Linked DNA regions of Caenorhabditis elegans. The protein of the gene in region 2 interacts with the protein of the main gene of each other region in a pairwise test. Each region holds a gene or a part of one and is shown on either strand. Other genes may lie near its edges.

What was found.
Region 1: the proteins of ZK945.6 (region 2) and ssp-34 interact in a two-hybrid assay, tested with the Caenorhabditis elegans proteins (one large-scale study listed by BioGRID).

The regions. Positions count from the first base shown.
Region 1 is NC_003282.8:10,737,142-10,740,983, forward strand, and holds ssp-34 (Sperm-specific class P protein 34), read right to left. Parts: upstream 1,462-3,842; coding exon 1,138-1,461; downstream 1-1,137. Other genes in the region: grl-21 (Ground-like domain-containing protein), read left to right, coding at 352-687, 731-913.
Region 2 is NC_003280.10:10,105,229-10,109,746, forward strand, and holds ZK945.6 (Ovule protein), read right to left. Parts: upstream 1,743-4,518; 5' UTR 1,675-1,742; coding exon 1,644-1,674; intron 1,598-1,643; coding exon 1,490-1,597; intron 1,438-1,489; coding exon 1,270-1,437; intron 1,227-1,269; coding exon 883-1,226; 3' UTR 852-882; downstream 1-851. Other genes in the region: putative RING finger protein ZK945.4, read right to left, coding at 38-329, 378-468; ZK945.7 (uncharacterized protein), read right to left, coding at 2,294-2,358, 2,402-2,779, 2,827-2,994, 3,038-3,176; ZK945.8 (PPP1R11/YPI1 family protein), read left to right, coding at 3,474-3,591, 3,639-3,850; lov-1 (Location of vulva defective 1), read right to left, coding at 4,051-4,320, 4,379-4,518.

The DNA.
Region 1 (3,842 bases), on a different chromosome or scaffold from region 2:
GTTAAATGGAATTACTATAAATCATGTACTAAATAAGTGATGGAGTAGTCTGAAGGTTCTAGGGGGTCTCCTGCGCAATGACGCGACGAACTTAAACCAGTCAACAAGCATAAAAACAAGTAGGCTCCACCCACTTTAACCTTGAATTCTGTGTGCCGAACCCGGGGTCAAGTGGCTTTTCGGCCAATTACTCATCGGTTTGTTACAGCACTGGCGGTCACTTCTCGCCGAATTTTCTCAAAATGTGTAATAATGAAGCTGCAATTTCTCTGCGTATCAATCTCTAACGCTCTGCTGTAATGACTACAAAAGTGACCATCGAAAACGAGAATTTCATACATTCCACTCGAAATGGTTCATTCATCAGTTCTAATTGTTCTTTCACTGACTGCTTCTTCATCTGCATTCCTTCTAGAAGGACTCGGTTTAGGATTAGGTCCACAAAGACCTCAACAATGCTGCTGTCCACCACCTCCACCACCTCCACCATGCGGAGGCGGATATGAAGCTCCACCTCCACCACCACCACCATCATATGCGGGTGGACCATCATACGCTGGACCATCTTATGCTGGATCCTACGGACCAGGACCATACAGAGCCAAGTCAAAGAGATCAGTTGACATGAAAGCTTCAAGTGGAGATTTGTTCTGTAATAGTGTTGAAGTTAGAGATATTATCAAGAAGGTATTGCATTTGAAAGTAACTAGTCTATATTGAACATTTTCAGGGAATGACATCAGGTGAGAAGGAGTCACGTGAAACAATCACTGCTCTCCTGAAAACTGAAATGAACCGTGAATATGTTGTGATCTGCACAAAGCAGCCATTCGAATACCTCGCTTCTTCCGATTCAGAGTTCTGCTCAGTGACAAATGATTCAGGAATCACTTGCTCTTCTTTCGTATTCTAGATGCTCAAGCTCTATGTACAATTACTATACGGAATCTCAGGAAAAATCCCCAACTTCTTTCGTTTTTTTTGTTAAATATGTATCACATGACTGAATACTATCTTATATTGGAATTGATAAACATTTTTAAAACACAATCAAACACCAGCGGAAAATACAATAATTTTATTCAATACAAAAATCAATGAATCTCTTTCCCATTTGCTTCAGTTATTGCATTCCATTCAAGCAGCGATGAGCTTCACAATGATTTCTCCTTGTTGAGCTCCAGCCTTGAACGGTGCCATTGGATCAGTCTCTTCGGCTGGCACTTCCGCGTATTGAATCACAATTTTGTCTTCTTTTGGTGGCCCTGGAAGACGATTGATGTCCAATTTGCTCTTTCCCTTTGCATCCACGAACCCATAAACTGGACGGACGCGGTAGTGCTCGTTGTTCGACGACTTCACCTTGAATGCAAGACGGGAATCCGATTCGGAAGTGATGTTGTGCGTCGAATTGCCTCCAGTTGCCGGATAGTTTCCAGTTGGCGGATCGACGTTGATCATTTTCAATCGGACTACTGCACTCTTCGATTGTGAGGAAACTAATTAATGATTGATATAAGGAAGTTCAATTGATAATCGACTTGTAGATGACCTTTCTTGATTAGGAATTTTTTAAACTTGGACAAACTACGTGATACTGTATTTTTTAATGTTCCCACATTTTCTCTTTAAAACTTTTATTAATAATCAAGAGAAAAACGCACGCGAAACAAACCACTCACTTTAAAAAATGTTTATTTGACTGCATGGCGAACCTACGCCTGCATGGCGAACCTACCTACTAAAAAGTGTACACATTAATTCATTTTCTTTTCCGTGCTGAAGTTTCATACATAATTATTTATATGAAGAAAAGATGCATTTGTAAATCAAAACTGAACAAACACCAGAGTTTAACAGGATTTACTAGTAGGTATGCAAGGCAGAAAGGTAGACATTGCAGGTCTATGAAAGGCTTCCCAGTTTTCCTGTTCAGTTTGGCAAAAGTTGACGTCAATATTTATCAGAGTTTAATATTGCTCACAAAGTCCCGACACTATTATTTCGTGAAGCAAAATGTAATTCTAAAAATGCAAATATAATAATTTAGATAAGTACGCCTGCAATATTCATAAAGAGAACAATGCCAAAAGGACCTTGAAGTGGTTTTGTGGGACAACTTGAGCAGTAGTTTTCGAGTGAAGAACTTGTTGTTGTTGTTGAAAAAAGAATAAGTATGCGGAATGGATCATAGTATTTTTGATTTATTTATTTGGACATTTTTTCGGAATAAAAATGACTCTAGGAGTTGTGAATCTAGCACATGAGATTTTGAAATTATTCCTAGAATTGAAAAAATTCTAAAATTGGCTGTTTGACAGTTCTTTTTTGAATTACACAGCTTTCATTCGAAAGTGATCTAGTCAAATTGATTTAAATGAACTGAAAAATCATCAACTTCATTTTCCACTACCCACAAAAAGTTATTGAATCCAACATGGTTTTTCTCATCTTTTTTTATTGTTGTTCCATTTTTTTTTATGTAACCACTTGTGATGGTTTGTGTCTGTTAATGTGTGTGTTTTTTTTTCTACCTCACGATATCTTACTATCGTAATAAATTAAATTAAATTAAAAATAATATAACTTAAAAAATTTACCAAAAAGTTTTAGTTTTTCAAAATGTTCAGTCAATGTTGTGGTAAATTGCCAAATTAAAGAAAAGGTCTTTTGAGTAATTTCGATAAATCATTTTAATTTTAATACTATAAGAGTGATTACGGATGTTTTGATTTTTTGTTTTACGGCTAGTTTTCCATTAACTAGTTTAAAAAAAAAACATATGTTGGAAAACGGTTAATTTGTTTTACTAAAAATGTATAATTTTTAATTGTGAATTTAAAATTCGTTGATGAAATGTACATAGGCTTGTTATGGTTAAACTGTTTAAAAATCGCCAAATAGTTTTCTTTCGCAAGTTCGCGAATCTACATATCATACTACACTACACTTTTCAAGGAAGGAGGTCTTCCAAAAAAAATCTTCATTCATTTATCTTGCACTCGTTTCGAATTTTTCGATTTTTCGACATCTCGACTAAATTTCTAATTTATTTTGTGCGCGCCTTTGCGTCTCCCTTTGCTCCTCCTTTTCTGCTCTTAGAGGAACACTGACCAACTCAAGTGCCTCCGTGTATTACTTGAACCACCCATCTTCTTTGCTTTTTTTAGACCATCAGATCTATACACAAATGTATAGGGAAGGTGCCACTCATCAGAGACTTCTGTCATCATCTAGTGGTATTTGCACAGTATCACACATTCCCTAGAGGACTTCTTTGTCTTTGGGTCATCCCTCCCGACATCCCTAACGACACCTCATTTTCTTTGTTTTTCTTAGGTCCTTGTCTAGTTTTTTTTTGAAAAGAAATAAGAGAGACTTAGAATCATTACGTCTATATATACAAAGGTATTTTTCTTCTTTTTTTCTCTCTGTTTTTCCTGTGAGAACGTTGTCAAAAAGCCTGGCTGCTGCTGTTCATGAAGTTTCCGGTAGCTGCTCAATATTCAATCAGGTAGAATGAAAATTATTTTTATTTTTTTCTCTCACAATTAATGGTGGTCTTTCTCTAATGAGAAAGGCATGGTACATTGAACTTGTGCAGAAAATATTTGTGATCTTTTCAGCTAGTAGAATAAGGCAAGCCAACTCCGTCAATTTTATTATTGCACATTTTCCAATATAATTTTGAATTTCTGACTCAGCAATATAATCAGGAAAATAAGGCTTATAACATACGTTGAAAACTCTTCAAGCTCGTATGTCTTTCTCATGGCTGCCTGCCTACGTGCCTTCTCGCAGATTTCGTCTGCATTTTTCATTTGGTGTTTGTTTTGTGTAAA
Region 2 (4,518 bases):
GTCAAAATCTTGTGAAACTGATAATATTTCAACTAACTCTTCACATAAATCGGCGTCGCATGTCTCACAATAATTCGAAGCGTGATGATTCGTGTTCTCATCACAGACTCCATTCTTATTCCTCTCCTTTTTCTCATTCTTTTCCGAAATTACTCGGTTCTTTCGATCTTTCACCTCTTGTTTGATTTCCAGAATACTAAAATTCTTTTTGAGTCTCGTCACATCTTTTTTCCAAATTCTCGTCTCAATTCGATCAAATGGGCATGCGATTATCGAAGACTGTCCTTTTATTTTTCCTGCACATCCTGTACAAATCGTGTGACCACATTCTGGAAGATAAAATAATTTTTAATTAAGAATCAAAACACACGGTGTACCAGTCAAAATTCTAGGGATTAGGAGCTTTTCGTCTTCTGAATACTCCTGCCCGCAAATCCCACACTCCGGAAAGCAGCGGAGCATATTCATGGCAAGTTCTGGAAACGAAGAAAAAATATTCGAGTGTATGAAATGAATGGGAAATTTCGTTATTGTCGTTGTTGAAAACGAAAATGTTCGTTTAAAATACGAAAAACGAATACGAAACAAGAAACAGCGCGATGACACCAATTGACCACAAATTTGTGTAAATTTGGAGCAATTTCCGGAGATCAAACAGAGAAAGAAAACACTTTGAATATTCTTGATATGCAGAGAGTGTTCGAAAACTAGAAAAAGAGAGCGCGAGGAACAAAAGTAGAAAGAGTATAATGTGCACACGCGAGGCGACAGGGGGCCTAGGCAGTTGTTGTTTTCAACTCGTTTTAGACTTTGGAGACGCAGAGTCAGATATGCAAAACTATTATCTTCAATGAGAAAAAATGTATTTTATCAAATAGCTATTCAATAGTTCTGTTCAATTTTCCGAACCCATTCTTCAAACTCTTCAGACGTCGGACCAAGTTCTGCGGTTGAAGCGTCATCCGAATTGACTGATGCATTGGATGTTGAACCATAGTCTTCAAGAATCTCAAAATCATCTGGCGGGCACGGAATAGCAAGGTTGACACGTGGATCGAAGTAAACTGGTTCCAAATGTTGCTCCGATTGAGCTAAGCACTCCAGAGAATCAACTACAGTAACCTTCTGATCATCACACATCATTTGAAATCCGGTGATTTTGCCTTGATCACGCCAGACTTGGAGCGGCGACGGTTGATGATTGAGGTCGAAAGGATCATCTGAAGCTGAAAATAAATTTTTTAAAATTTAATTGAGACGGAATCCCACCTTTAACATAATCTTGTTCCATAGAACTCAAATCCGATGCTGTACTGAAAGACATCTGAGTATTCAAAGAAGGATCTGCATAGGCATCCAACTTTTGTGCCACTGTCTCCAATGATACAGCTGTGCAGACCGATGTACAACTCAAAGATTCTTCGATTGCGGTTATCACTGAAAAATCTGGTGATTCAAGATCATCTGAAATCGTTTAAAGGCAACTCACAGTTACTAATAATATCTGCTTCGTTCGTGTTACTACACTCCTTGCTTTTGATGACTCCATCCAAATTGATATCCACTTCTGAACCAATCTTTTCGAGAGCAATGAAATCTGAAATTCTACGGTTCAGACGGCATGACAAACTCAGTAAAATTACCATTGACGACATCTTCCTGAGAACACTCCATGATTATGATCTCTCGAGATGTGATCGATTTGAAAATTTTTTTGAAATGAAATTTTGAATATAAGAAAATGAACATTGAGGCATTAGTAGGAAAGACGTGAAAACATTTAATTTTATAAAAATTTAAAGAACACGGTTGCCACGTGATTGGTGAAAACTTGTACAAAGAATTTATAGATGCTCACAGAGGCAACTCCTTTCGAACAGTTCTCTCAAAAAGTAGGAAATAATGGAAATTGAGAAGAAGCACCACATTTTATGTACAGTTAACATTAAATAGCATGGTAGAAGTAACTTAGAACCACGAGGCTGGTAGATCGCAACAAGGGCGGGTGAAGAATTGATGCAAATTTCAGATTTATAGGGATAAGACAACTCTTTTTAGAAGAATTCCCGTCTTGTTAGGTGTTCAACCCGGGAGCCATGACGGGGCTCATTTTGTCCGCCTCGCTTTCATGTGTGCAAAAGGCGGCCAGGCACAAGTCTCGTTTCCATGAACTATCGTAATAGTCATCAAAAAATTTGCTATACAAAAAACCAAGAAATTACGAATGCATAGACAACAACAAAAATGATTCGACATTTTTTATAGACCAAGTTCAATAATTTGTTCCGATTCTTCAGATCTCGTGATGGATTGAACTGGCATTGGATGAACGCAAGAGGTAGCTTTCCACAGATTTGGCTGAAATTGAAAATATTATTTCTTAAATAAACTTCACTCTTACCAGTTTTTCCAAAATCAGGATTCTGATCGAAATCCACCGGGATTGGTTGGAATTTGTCCAACTGATGAAGGCATTCAATTGAATCAATGATCTTCGCATTCGAAAAATTGCTGCACTCCAATCCAATCACTTTGCTATCCGGAATCCCGAGCTCGGCTTGAAGGCGCTCTACGTAGGCGGTGGTGTCGAATGTTGGATGAGCTGATTTTGCAGTGTGCTCTGACGCCAAATCCTGAGCAACGTTCTTGAGAACATCAGCCATTGTGACGTTGGTCTCCGAGGCAAGGGCAGTGTACTCCGAGAAGCTTGCAACATTCATTGTAACATTTGCTTCTGATGGTGGCATTGAGTAGACAGAGTAGTCAAGAACGTTCATCACTGAAAATTTTTGGTTTTTCAAGATAGAGTTGTTGCAGTTAACTTACAGTCTTTGCACCGCTCGAACTTCTCATTCATGGTCACTGGGGTCTCGGATTTTGGAGCAGAGTAAACGGACAAATTGAATTGATTGATATCTTGACATGGCTGGAACCCTTCGCTAGCTGACACATTTGTTTCTGATTTTGGGATTGGGTAGATCGAAGAATCAGCTTCTGTAAACTCAATATTCCCAAAAAAAAGACAATAAAAACTTACGATCATCTGGCGTCTCATTGACAGCGATAATTTCTTTGGCAAGCACCTCATTGATGGAGCAATTTGTCTCCGATGGCTGAGCAGAGTACACGGAGCACATTCCATCCTGATCCATTTGGTTGTCGAACGAGGAAGCCATAGCTAACCAATCAATTGAGCAGATTGTTTAATCCGACGGTTGAGGTTGTCGGACGAGTATGTAGCAATAAATTGTTAGTGTGGCAAGGGGGAGGTAAGGGGAATTCAAAAGTTCACGTTAAAAGTTCAATTTTTTTTTTGAAATTTATAAATTTTTTTGAAATTTGAACTTTTTATAGTGGAATCATGGCATTTTAAATATATATAAATTGTCAAATAAATAAAAGTGTAAGTCCACGATTCCAGGGAAAAAATTCAAAGTTTTATTCATTTCGTACATCAACTACACAGTCGTACGATGCAAGCCCCCGTCGTAACGGAAACTTGTCAAACCAACGAAGAAGGAGAGCAGCTTGTGCTCCGCCTGAGAGCTCCAGTTGAGCGTCCACGTGTCACTTGGGGAGCGGGAGTAATTGGTGAGTGAATTTATATTAAAAAGTCTTGAAAAATACTTAAACTTTAGATAACGAACACATGGGACGTCTCAAATCCAATTGCTGTTGCATCTACACTCCGCCTCGTGTCTGGGATGATCCGTCAACTTGGGAGCCGGAGGAGCATGAGACGGAGCACTGTCGTGGACATACTCTTCCAGAGAAGAAGCAAAAGCCACAAGGAGGACATGGTAGCGATAAAGATGAAGATAAGGGAAATTGTGGATGTGATCATTGTTGAAACTCGAAGATTTAAAAATTATTAGGAAATTTATGTAGATTTTATTGTAAATTAATCTAAATGACCCATCATGCCTTTGTTCTTATGTTTTTGTATTGAATATTACTTTTCTGCGGTCATAAAAATGAAAAAAAAACTGAAAAACAAACTATTAACACAATTATTTATTCTTGATATCCAAATTAGGTAGCCCTCAAAAATCAATCTTTCTCCACATCGTTTAGCCGCCACTTCTGGAATCTCTTTGGTCCAGTTTCGTGAATAGCAGAGACAGGATCATAGGAGAGTGTGTAGTTGATGACTGTTTGGTTTTGGTATTGACCTTGAGTTTGGAGCATTCTGGTGGCACGATGATGAAGCAGATTGACTTTGGCAACAGCGCTGTGGAATAGACGGAAGTCTTTTTGAGTGTCAGCAATTGAAACTGGAGCAAAATCTTTTGGTTCAAGAAGACCCAAGCGACGTTTTGTCTGAAATTAAATAACAGAAATTAAAGAACATCTAATAGTGAGCTTGAAAAATAAATACCTTGTATTTTATGTGATCGATTATTTCGTAATCATTGGTCTGCTTCTCACTGTCATTACGAATTTCCTCGAACTCGAACATAATTATAGTGACGTAAAGTTGCAGGACGAGCTTTGATCCGGCAATCATATAAAGCATGA